Mus musculus: one gene and its partners. The protein of the gene in region 1 purifies or fractionates together with the protein of each later gene. This does not show direct contact. Links are inferred from orthologs where the notes say so. Each region holds a gene or a part of one and is shown in the gene's direction. Other genes may lie near its edges. The genes, in order: Wrap73, Cep135 and Ssx2ip.

Region 1 (4,225 bases):
AGCTACGAGGAGTAATTATTTGCGAGCTGCAGATTAGAGACAAAGATGAATACCAAGCAAGAGTTTGGGACTGGTTGGGAACAGAAAATGCCAGGACGCTGGCCGCGCACTCTGCAGATCCTCTCCGAATGGTGCAAGCACCGCCATTCATTCATTCATTCATTCATTCATTCATTCATTCGTGGAAATTAGATGCAGCGGTGCGGAAGAGACTGGGAGCTATGAGCTGGACCGAGCAATACTAGATTCCGGTCTTTCAGAATTCGGAACTTAGCTCCAAAGGCAGTGGCTGAGCCTTAAGTGATCCTCTGAAGCTTTGGGTGCAGACAGGAACATCCAACCTCCCGAATGACACCGGAATGGGGAGCCTTGTGGGGCACAGGACGCGGGGTGCTGCGCGAGGGAGGGAGCAGAGCGCTTTGGGGAGCGATCCTGGTCTGAAGTCCAGTTGGTGCTGTATTCTACGTGCCCACCGAGGCTGCCGTCCCGGGTACCGAGCCACACCTCTGAATCAAGTCCACACTCTAACTAGAACCTCCAAAAAGGTGAGGCGACCCACGAGATCCACATGCCTTCGAATTCGTTCCGCCACAGACCTGAGAAGCACTTGAACGTCACGAGGTCACGCTGCAGGTGGTCGCTCTCAGGAAAACCTCAAAGCAAACCTATATTTATACTTATACGTGGAAAATACTTTGCTTTGTTCTGTTTGAGAAAGGGTCTCACGCAGCCCTGCATAGCCTCCAACTCTATAGGTAGCGAAGGATGCCCTGAACATCTGCGTCTCTGGTTTCAGGTGTAGGATTTTTTTTTTTTTTTTAATGCAAACCATCGTGCGGGGTTTATGCGATGCTGCGGACCAAAACCTGGGTTTCATATATGCTAAGCAATCATTTTGCCAATAGAACCGCACTCTCAGCTCCTGTAACAAAAAATTTGTTATCTACTAAAGAGGTGTATCGAAATACGACTATATACTTACACATAAATACGCATTTACATGTAAATAAATGTATGTTCACAAGTACAGAGGTCTAGTTACAACCTGAATTTCAGATAAGGGAGTCTTTTAGTCTAAGTATGCCCCGGGTAACTTTTGGGAACATATTTATTTTGTGATTTATCTGAAGTCAGAATTCAGCCTTCCGTTTCGGGATTTGCAGGGAGATCCGCTATAGCGCAAAGGCGCTCAGCCCCTTTAAGACTCAAACTCGGACTTCCCGCCCCACAATGCCGCGCGGCCGCTTGAGGCTCCCATTGGCTGCTGCTCGCTTCCGCCCCTGTACTTCCGGCCGCTGCCTGGGGCGGTTGCGGGAGGTACTTCGGAGCCGGGCTGGCCCGGGCTGGCCGTGGCCATGAACTTCTCGGAGTCATTCAAGCTCTCGGGCCTGCTCTGCAGGTTCTCCCCGGACGGCAAGTACCTGGTGAGCTGCGGCGCGCTGGGCGGAACCTAAGTGTGGGCGCGCGACTTGTGCACGGGGCCGGGGCGGGCCGAAGGGGGGCGGGAAGGGGGCCCGAGCCGGGCGGCCGCGGGGACTCAGGCTGGACTTAGGGGGCGGGGTGGGAGGTGGGAGAGGGAGGCAGGCAGAGGGGTTTCAGCCCAGATGAGGGAGAACCAGATGATTAGAGAGAACGAACCTGAAGCCGAAGAGGGATCCAGGCCAGCCAGGCTGGGGGATCCTGGCAGGTGACCAGGGTGGAGAAAGAGGACGTGGAGCAGAGTGGGGATGGAGTTGGGGTTGCTATTCTGGCAGGTGGTCAGGGTTAGGAAGGAGGTCTTGGAGCAGGTGGCCAGGGCTGGGTGGGTGCCAGGCTCCCGGCTCCAGTTTCCCTTCATCAAAGTTGGATAAGATGACTCTGCTTTCACACATTTGAGGGCACAGGGGATGGCAGCTCATTGCTATTTTGTATGTTTTCTGTGAGCGAGCTGGTTAAACGGGGCCCTCCTTTGTGAAACTCGTCATAAGCAAATGGTTTAAATAACTAGCTTTCATTGCCAGGGTTGGATGTTAGCTGTCTATTCTTTGGGTGGCAGAATAGTGTTCAGATGGGTGTTTCAAGGTACGCCAACATGACCATTGTGCATTTGTAGAAGGCTGACGTTAGGAAGCCATCAGGGAAAACTCAAGTCTTATTTTAAAAAACTGTGGTTCCGTGCCAGTCGGGTAGCTTGGCTAGTAACGGTACCTGCCACCAAACCTGATGACCTGAGTCCCAGCTCTAGGACCCACTTAATGGAAGGAGAGAACTGTCTCCTGCATGTTGTCCTCTGGCCTCCACATAAGCCGTAACTAGTGCCTGACCCTTCTCACATACAAATGCAATCCTAATTTTTAACAAGTTTTCTTTGATTAATCTATCATTCTCTTTTTAACTGACTGATACCATTGATTGATTGATTGACTGATTGACAGGGTTTCTCTGTAGCTCTGACCAGGTTGGCCTTGAACTCAAAGATCTGCCCCTTGTCTCCTGAGTGCTGGGATTAACGGAGCATGCCACCATGCCTGGCTGTCTTGATTCTCAGTTCACACCCCTGCTGTGTTTGTCCAGGCTTTTGAGACATCCTTTACCCTCCTTATACACATCATCCTAACAATGTAGGAAGTGTCAGGGTAGGACCTGCTTAGCAGGGAAAGGTACTGCCATGCAAGCCCGAGGACTTGAGCTCCGGCTCGGGAACCCACGTAAAGGTGGGAGGAGACCATCAGCCTCGCACACATTGATACATTTTACCTTTTTCCAAGTGCCTCCAGAGACTAAGGTTGCTTTACGGTTCTGAAAGTCTCAGTGAACAGCAAAGAAGTTGCATTTGGGTTAGCTGATATTTGTGCTTGCCGCTCATCAAAATATCGTGGAGCTCTTAATAATTGTTTCTTTCAAGTTTTGTCCTAAATCCTGAGCAGAGCGAGTCCATGTTTCCAGTGTTGGTGTCTTAAGTGATTCCTAAGGAATCCATTGTAACAGGTTACTGCTCACCAAACTCTAATGTGAGAACACAAGCCCTTTGATAGGTCCTCCTTCTGATCTGCACTTGCCCTCTTGCTCTCTTTCCACAGAAGACAAATGTGGCTTCATTAAAAAAAAAAGAGTCTGTGTGTGTGTGTGTGTGTGTGTGAGTGAGAGAGAGAGAGAGACAGAGACAGAGACAGAGAGACAGAGATAGAAACAGAGAGATGCTACAACACACGTGTAGAGGGCAGAGGACAACCCCCAGTGTTATTCCTTACCTTCCACCTTGTTTGAGACAAGGTCTCTTGCTCTTCACTGCATAAAGCAGGCTAGCTGGCCCACATGTACCTGCCTCAGCCTCCCCTCTGCCTCCCCTCTGCCTCCTCATAGAAACTAGGATTTTAAACAGTTTTTAGGATTAACACAGTTTTATGTGGCTTCTGTGCATCCAAACCTGTTTCTGAGGCAAGTGCAAGTTTTTGGCTTTTAGACAATGGCATAATATGCAAAGCTGGCCTCAGACTCAGAAAGTAGTTGAGCACCTCCCTAGTACAGTGATTACAAGTGTGCACCATCACTCCCAAGTAGTAAAAAAATACACACACACACACACACACACACACACACACAGGCTTTTTGAGACAGTTTCTCTGTGTAGCCCCAGCTGTCCTGGAACTCACTCAGTAGAGGGAGGCTGGCCTCAAACTCAGGGATCTGCCCACCTCTGACTTCTGAGTGCTGGGATTAAAGGAGTGCACCACCCCCATCTTTAAATTTACTTGTACAGATGGCTCAGCGGGTAAGAGCACTGACTGCTCACCCAAAGGTCCTGAGTTCAAATCCCCGCAACCACTTGGTGGCTCACAACCACCCGTAATGAGATCTGATGCCCTCTTCTGGTGCATCTGAAGACAGCTACAGTGTACTTACTATATAATAATAAATAAATCTTTAAAAAAATTTACTTGTACAAATTTGTGGGTTAGAGTATGATAATTTGGTTAATATATACTGTGTGGAACTTTTAAACTTTTGAATGCTCCACCTTTTATCTTTTTCTAACTCATTTTGCAATGAGACCCATAAGTTTTGGTCCACATGAAGCTAAGTGTGTCGAACAGGAGGGGAGGAGCTGGCCATTGAGGCAAGGCTCCCTGCTGTAGAAGAGATGCTATCCCGTGCTGTCTGCCTCACTTTTTAGGCTTCCTGTGTCCAGTACCGATTAGTGATCCGGGATGTGACGACCCTTCAGATCCTTCAGTTGTACACATGC
Region 2 (3,644 bases), on another chromosome or scaffold:
GCCTGGCTGCTGAGGTCAAACTCTAGGGAGCATGAGAATGAGATGGGGGTAGCTGAGCCGGGAGTCCTTGCCTTCCTGTGAGACACACTGGATTTGGTCTCAGCACTGCAAGAAAAGAAAAAGCAGATAAAATTGGGTTCGGAATAGATGGTACTTAAGAAGTTAGGCATTTTCTAGGTGTAGATCAGGAATATACAGTCTTTTTGTTTTTGTTTTTGTTTTTGTTTTTCAAGACAGGGTTTCTCTGTGTGTCCCTAGCTGTCCTGGAACTCACTTTGTAGACCAGGCTGGCCTCGAACTCAGAAATCCTCCTGCCTCTGCCTCCCGAGTGCTGGGATCAAAGGCATGCGCCACCACTGCCCAACTACATTCTTTTTTTATTTAAAATTAAATTTTGGTTTAAAGATTAAACAGTTTTCTAACTTGAATTTTTTAATAATGAAATCTCACGGCATTTACATTATTAATTAAGCCTTCTTTACTGAACTTGCCCATCCCCAAGCTGAGACTTTGACTGGCCTGGTGTGTGCTCTCGTGTGAGCATGGCTTTGGTTTCTCTTGTCAAGTCGTGCATTGAGAAGTTATAGCACTTGCTTGACTGTGGCCAGAGAACTGGCATGCTGCAGAGAGCATGGACTCATGGCTGATGGGGCGGGAGGCTTATCATATCCTTACCCTCTCATGATGAGGGAGATGGCTGGTCATCATCGGAGAGGCAGAGTACGCCTTAAAGCCAAGGGGACTTTAAATCACAATGATTTTCTTACAACTAAAAAAAAATGTTTTAAAGTCTTCAACAATCGCTGTTATATTGTAAGATAAAGAATTTTTCAGACTAAGCCTAAACTTTTGCTGAATTAATCTTTGTTTTTTCTGTAGGCGGTAGCAGAATTAGAGAATGTAAAATCAGAATCAGAACTATTAAAAAAACAGCTGACGAATGAGAGACAGACAATTAAAAACCTTGAGTCGTTGTTAGCTACAAACAGAGATAAAGAGTTCCAGTCCCATTTAACCTCCCACGAGAAGGACACAGAAATCCAGCTGCTGAAGGAGAAGCTAAATCTCTCAGAAAGCAAACTGTGAGTGTCGCTGAGCAGTGTGTGGGGAAGTGTCTTTGACAAAGTAGTTTCAACTTTCCAGGTAGCGAGGGCATTGGAAACCCACGGTCCCTGACTCTCCTAACTGCTGCGTCTGGACATCCAGAGGAGTCACTCAGGAGACATGGGGTTTGAAGCCGTAGACGTACACATCTTCATCCCCAAGGCAGGGCGTGGGATCGAGCCGGGAAGAGTGAGCTTCAGGGGAGGACCTGAGTCTGAGGAGTGAGTAAAGGCTTTGCTGAGGGGAGGCGTGTCCAGATGAGGTGGCTGTAGACAGGAAAGGCTTGGAGCGGGGGAGATTTGGTTCTCAAGTGCGTTGTTCATCACCATCAAGGGGACTGGTGATGACATCATCCCAGAAGAGAAGAGCCTGGACTTGCGAGCATGCAGAAAAATGGGCTTTGTACAGGGCTAGGGAAGTTGAGGCAAGAGGCAAGGAAGAACCAAGGAACCTGTGTTGCATCCTGTGTTGCTAGCTCATGACTGTGCAGAAGCTCTGGTTTGGAGAGAGCCCCTGTTGAAAAGCTGTGATCCTTGTCTGTTCTTAGGAATCAACCCATTTGTATCTGCACTTGATTCTACAAAAGAGGTCATTCGTTTTTCTATTTCTAAGATCTATACATTTGTTTTTAAGGACTACCCAAAGCCGAGAAACCTCCATGCTTCGAACTAAAGTGACACAGTTGCAGACAGATTATGATAATCTGAAGAGGCAGATGTCAAACGAGAAGTACGAACGGTAAGACAGTTCTGTAGCAATACACAGCATTTCTGCATATCTTCTATGCTACTCAAAGAGTACTTCATACGGCTTGCAAACAGCAAACTGCTTTAGTATTAATCTGTAAGCTACATTTCTTAGGCACTTCCTGCTAGAGCAAGGGACTCCATAACATTGAAAAAAAAGGTTGGAGCATCTGTACTGCGAAGAGAAGCTGAATACTGAGTAACTGAAGGAAAGGGCAGCCTGGGGGCCTCTGAGGGGACAACCAGCACTGACACTCCTGGCACTGGGAGGCACAGTGTGACACTGGGAGTGTGATGGAGAGAGTGGGCTCCTTTGTCTTTGAAGTTTGGGAGATTAGAGGCACAGAGAAGGCTAAGTGCATATGCAGAGAAAGGTGAGAGAGAAGGGCAGAGGAGGGAAGTGTGCAGTGTGGGAGCACTGTTCTCAGGACCTGGACAACAGTGACAGCGACATTAGTGAGGTATAAGTGACTGAGGATTGCTTCAGACGTGGGTGTGTAAAAAACTGTCTTTGAGTTCACACACACACACACACACACACACACACACACACACAGTGTGTGCAGTCATGATGGTGCTCCCCTGTAGTCTTCAAACTCAGTAGGGTGAGACAGAAAGCTGGTGAGCTTGAGAACAGCCTGCCCTTCATAGCAAAAGCCTGTCTCTAGAAGAAGTGTGTGACTGCTGGGGTAGAGGAGACTAGAAGTTGAACTTCTCTTTGCCTAGAATCAGGAAGGACCTGATAGAGCAAGCCCAGAGAACAGCACAGATGTGAGGCTGGGCAGAAGCTGAGGGTCCAGTGACGAATAGGAGATGGCTGTGGAGGTAGAAGCGGAACCAGGAAAGGACAAGGCAGGAAGCAGACGTGCTCAACTGCACCAAACACCGAACAAGATGTAGAAACGGCCAGGAAGCCGCACGTTATATACGCGGTTAAAGCTTAAAGAAGAAAGTGAGTGCCCCCAGCATCACTATTCATATTTTGAGTTTAACATCTAGTTGTGTATTGGTTTTGGTTTTTGTTTGCTTTGGTTTGATTTTTTGAGACAAGCTCTCTCTCCTCAGGCCTTGCCCCCCACCCCCCAAGTACTGGCATTACAGGCACACGCCAGCCATGGCATTACAGGCACATGCCACCCTGCTGGCTTAATGGGGATTTGTATATTTCTGAATGTATACTTGGTATCCTAACTTTTTAAAACTATCATTAAAATATCATTGTGATTGTTATGTTTTTAAATGTTATTTGTTAATGCCCTAATGTTCTGATATAGCTATAGCATAATTGCTTTGAATAATTTCTTCTAATATATATTCTTTTAATTGAAATATTTTACATATTCATGAAAACAACTACAAATTAGGGCTGGAGAGATGGCCCATTGGTTAAGAGCACTGGCTGCATTTCCCCAGGACCTGGTACCTCCACAGTGGTTCACGGCCGTCCATAACTAACTCTCCTCTGCCTTTTACAGTCACCAGGCACATGTGTTGTGCAGACATCTGCCTGCAGGCAAAGCACTCATACACAGGAAATATAGTGAATCAACCTTTTTTTTTTAATCCTGCAGATTTGGCTAAAGTATATAAGGCTAGGCCAGGCATCCTACCCCCTTGTAGTTCCAGCTGCTTGGGAAGACCAAGGCAAGAGAATCCCTTGAGCCCCTAAATCCAGGGTAGCCTGGGTAACACAGTAAGGCCCCATTTCAAAGATGAAGCCAACTAAAATAAAATAAAGGTGGTAGAAACATAGATTGCACTAGCAGGTGTTCTGTAGTGGACTAATAACCCCAA
Region 3 (4,269 bases), on another chromosome or scaffold:
GTACATTATTATACAAACAAGCCTTATGCCCACAGCAGCCATTGAACATTCATGGAGGCCCGTGCCCTGCTCTCTCTGTTCCAGGGGTGGGACCATACCATGCTGTCCCTTGCACGGCCAAGCCGGACTCAGCATTTAAAGAATAAATGCCACGTTAAGATGTTTCTTGAGAGAGGAAAAGGAGTGTTTTGGAGAGTGGACAAGGGAACTTTCAGAACACCCCCTCGGATGCAGAGGGAGCAACCTCACCCCACTAATGGTCTAACTTCGAGAGTAAGACAGTCATTGGCAGTAATTTCTCACTGGCACTGTGCTCCAAAGCGCCTTTGTAATGATGTATCCTTGCTACCTGTATTTAGCATCCAATCTCCTTCAAATCCATTGTTCATTTCTGCACTCTGATCTTCTACCTAGCACTGTGGGCATGTGTAGTCCTTGTTCCTCTCTGTCTTGTTCTTCTGTGGCAGTGGTGTATTTCTTGTGTTCCTTTTACGATGTTTTGTTCTCACAGGAGCCACTTAACCCCAAACCTCTTTTTTTTTTTCCTCTTGAGTAAACAGCTTGCTAGAACCCCACCACCCTACCCTTTACTAAGGTTTCTCCATTTTCCTTTCCCAGGGGAACTTTAGGTGAAAATAGTAGGGAGAGGCAAGTGGATTTGGCCAATTGCCACTGTCCTACATTTTCTTGGCACTCATGGAGAGGGCCTAGGGAGTTTTTCATCAAGGTCTAGTTCACAAGTACCTTTTCTTAGTTTCCCTTTCCAGCTGTCTCCTCCCTAGGTCCCTTCCTTTGCCTTAGTTTGTTTTATTCACTACTTGAGCTTCTCTCATAACGCCCAGGCTAGCCTCAAGCTGCCAATGACCTTGTACTTCAATTCTGCCGGATCACAGACCCTCACATGCGTTCTGTGCAGTCCTGAGGAATGAACTCGGGGTTTCACGCGCACTACCCTGGCCCTGGTTTTACACGGATTTCTGTGCATTGGCGCATTGATTCCAGAGGCCACTACCTTCCTTCTCCAGGGCCTGACCTAATTCTGGAATGCCCCGGTGTCTCTCCGTTCTGGGGAGCGCACCTGGTTCTCCAGAGAGCATTGGGGTTCAGGGGTGGCCTCAGAGGCCCGGCTCTAAAGCGGCTAGGACCCTCCTCTTGTCCCCGTGGAGAGCTGGGGGCGGGGAGCAGCGGCCGGGTGACCCCGGGTGTAACAGGTGCGGTAGCCGCAGCTGCGCGGGGGAGAGCGGCTTGGCGTCTGCTGGGGGTTGTCGGAGGCTAGTCCTCGCTGGACCAATGCGGGCCGCGGTTGTTCGTCGCCTGGCAACCGGCGGAGCCAATGGGCGGCGCCAGCGCGGGGCGGGGTGGGATGGGCGCCCGCCGAGGAAAGCGGCGAGAGGCGGGCCGGGCGGACCGGGCGGGCTGGAGGCTGCGCGGAGCCGCTGCGTGCCGCCGCGGGTGCGGGCCCGCGGGCTGCGGGAGGCGTGAGCCGCTCCCGGAGCCGTGACGGTGAGCGGCGGGATTGTGACGCGCAGGCGGGGAGGAGGGCACCGGGCTGGACGTGGACGCAGGCACCGGGGCCGACTCTGGGCGGGCTCGTCGCGGCCGTTGCAGCGGTTGGAGAGCGTTGCTGCCCGCCGCCTGCAGCGGAAAGTGCGAGGTAGGTGCTGGGGGGGCCCCGCGCCCTTTCGGGATGCGGCGCGGGCGCGCGCGGGGTCCCTTTGGCCCGACCGCGCGGGCTTGGCGAGTCCTCCGAGGCTGCCGCAGGACTTAGCGAGTGAGGTCTGCCGCTGCTGCAGGGGTAGGTGGCTCATAGTGGTCCAGCCCCACGTTTAGGGGAAGAACTTACATCATCGCAGGGGCAGGCTTGTTTGAGAAATTATTTGGCCCCGGATTTTCCAGTGGTGTAGAGTGCGTAAATGGTGAGCTCTGTCCGGGTCAGCACATATTTCTCCTGGTGCAGATTGCTGGGTTATGCAAGTCACCTGGGCCCAGGAAATAAAACTTGCCCAATAATTCCCCATCAGCACCAGTAGAGGAATCTTTACATTAATACCCACAGTTCAGGCTCCTTAGTCCTGCGTGTCAGATTCATAACCAGCCACGCCGATGCAGTTGTGAGAGCCGGGAGTTTCTTCTAGAATCCAGGCTGGATGAAAGGTGGAGCCCAAGGATGAGAGCCTTCTGGATTTGATATTTGCTTCAATTCAGTTTAGAGTCCAGGCCTGGAGTTAGCTGAAAATAGTGCTACCATGGAGCCCGCAAGGTTCCGGAGGAAAACCTTTCTAGTCCCAAATTTGATCTTGAACGGAAAGGTCTGTATATGACGTGACACATTTACGAGGCTGGATAAAATTCAAAACCGTCGATCCAGCTAGCAAAACTTAAGCCATCCAATCTCCTTACTCCCCAAGAGCCTGTGGGCCCACGAAGCTTAGAGTGTTCATTCAAACTAAACAAGAAAAGCTGTGCTCCCAGTCGACACTTTGTCCTGCCCGGTGTGCACAGAAGTTCCTCGTACAAAGTGGCTCTCTGAGAGGATTAGGAATGGATAGAATTCAAACCGGGGCGTTTTCTTTGGTAACTGTTGGGGCCCCTACAGCCTGTCATTTTACACCCTTCCTTTCCTTCTTGTTCTCCATCTGTACAGGGAAGATAATAGGTCCAGGGATTAAGTAACAGGGCCACAGCAGCTTGGAGATAACTGCTGGGGCCGGGCCACTCCAGGATGAAATGTGAAACTCGATCCATGACACACTTGAGCCTTGTGACAAGACTTGTTAAGTCCACAGCATCCTAGGCTTGCTCAGGCAGGTGTACGCACCATGGAAAAGTTAACTGTTCATGTTAGCCCAGAAGGCCTCCAACCCAGCCCAGTCAAATTATGTACTTGGGCTCTCTTAAAATGGGAAAACTGGACAAACCAGCTTGTCGGCCCAAACCGGTTAGGATACAGATTTTGTGAAAGTGCCCTCACTTAGCATTCAGCTAGAGAGAGGGGGGGGAGAGAGCGCCTAGAAAACACTTTTCCACAGGGACTTGAATCATGTTTACATTGGAGCAGTAAGCCCCCCCCCCTCCCACACACACACACTGCTCCTGTCTTTATCCCAGCTCCCTGGGAGGCTAAGGTAGGGGATACGCGTGAGTTTAGGAGTCCCAGACAAAGTAGAACAACATACAGATCTTCATAAAAAACAAACACCTTTCATTCTGAACGACCTCACACGTTCCTTGGGGAACCAGACCAAGCCGGGCCATGCACATGCAAGGCTAGGGTTCTGTTGCTGAGCAGTGAAACCCGGTGCGCCTTGATTCTGAGGCAAGGCTGCCTTGTTACTAGCTTGCCCAAGCAGTCCTTGAACTTGCAGTTCTCCTGCTTCAGCCTCCCAGAAGCTGGGCTTATAGGTTTCTAGGCTCAGTTTCAAAAGTGATTTTTAGTGTTAGCTTCCTGTATCTTTTACAGTAGCTGTGGACTCACCTTGTTGGCTTAGCCATTAGTTCATAACGAGGCTGTGTGAGTCTGTTGTGTGTCTTGGGCAATTATGGTTAGGTGGTTGTGAGCGTACATCTTACCTTAAAGCCATGAGCCTATAGAATGAGACAGTAGAGAAACACACCATCCATTATTAGTAATGGAAAAACCTAGATTGATACCATGTGATGCTGGTCCAATATTTTGTGTAGGAACAGATTTGTTGTTTGTTAATAAATCTATTCTTTCAGTAAGCATTTATTGTCAGACACTCAGCTGCTACTTGCCAGGCCCAAGGACAAAAAGATGTGTTGCTCTGAACATTTTGTACTTTAGGAGGTTTTGTGTGGAGAAGGGGAGAAATGCAAATGTGGGCGGGCTTTAGGAAAGAAGGCCTTTCAGTTGTGTCCTGACAGGCGCTCGCCAAGCAACTGTGCGTTGGGCACAGCAGAGCAGGTGCAGGTTACAGGTGGTTGGTGTCGTCCATGTGCAGCCGGAGCTGCATTAGCGACAAGCGTTAAGAACAGCGCTGTGAACCTTGACCAGAGGGCAATAAGGAATATCTAAAGGGTTTGTTGGGGATTATATTGCTTCTGATGTAGTATGTCTGCCTAGGTAATAATTTGCATAGTCCATGGCCTCTGGACCTTGATGGTCTAGATAATACCTGAAAGCTTTTCACCAGGCACGTAATTGAAGCTGACAGGAGCCTTGGAAATGCAGCGATGGCTGTCTCAGGCGGGTCTTTGTTAAGTTGTCTTCTGTGCCAGGACTGGAGATCTAGAAGCAATGAAGATGCA

The links.
Region 2: the proteins of Wrap73 (region 1) and Cep135 purify together in Homo sapiens (co-immunoprecipitation; 6 studies listed by BioGRID and IntAct, counting the BioPlex papers as one, with this or other methods). This does not show direct contact. The link is inferred for Mus musculus from reciprocal best matches to the Homo sapiens genes WRAP73 and CEP135.
Region 3: the proteins of Wrap73 (region 1) and Ssx2ip purify together in Homo sapiens (co-immunoprecipitation; 4 studies listed by BioGRID and IntAct, counting the BioPlex papers as one, with this or other methods). This does not show direct contact. The link is inferred for Mus musculus from reciprocal best matches to the Homo sapiens genes WRAP73 and SSX2IP.

The regions. Positions count from the first base shown.
Region 1 is NC_000070.6:154,141,090-154,145,314, forward strand, and holds the start of Wrap73 (WD repeat-containing protein WRAP73), read left to right. Parts: upstream 1-1,282; 5' UTR 1,283-1,355; coding exon 1,356-1,424; intron 1,425-4,153; coding exon 4,154-4,225.
Region 2 is NC_000071.6:76,637,185-76,640,828, forward strand, and holds part of Cep135 (centrosomal protein of 135 kDa), read left to right. Parts: intron 1-879; coding exon 880-1,082; exon of another isoform or gene 1,083-1,325; intron 1,326-1,737; coding exon 1,738-1,842; intron 1,843-2,576; coding exon of another isoform or gene 2,577-2,625; exon of another isoform or gene 2,626-3,112; intron 3,113-3,644. UniProt on the Homo sapiens protein: Centrosomal microtubule-binding protein involved in centriole biogenesis. Acts as a scaffolding protein during early centriole biogenesis.
Region 3 is NC_000069.6:146,403,282-146,407,550, forward strand, and holds the start of Ssx2ip (afadin- and alpha-actinin-binding protein), read left to right. Parts: upstream 1-1,360; 5' UTR 1,361-1,654; intron 1,655-4,269. UniProt on the Homo sapiens protein: Belongs to an adhesion system, which plays a role in the organization of homotypic, interneuronal and heterotypic cell-cell adherens junctions (AJs).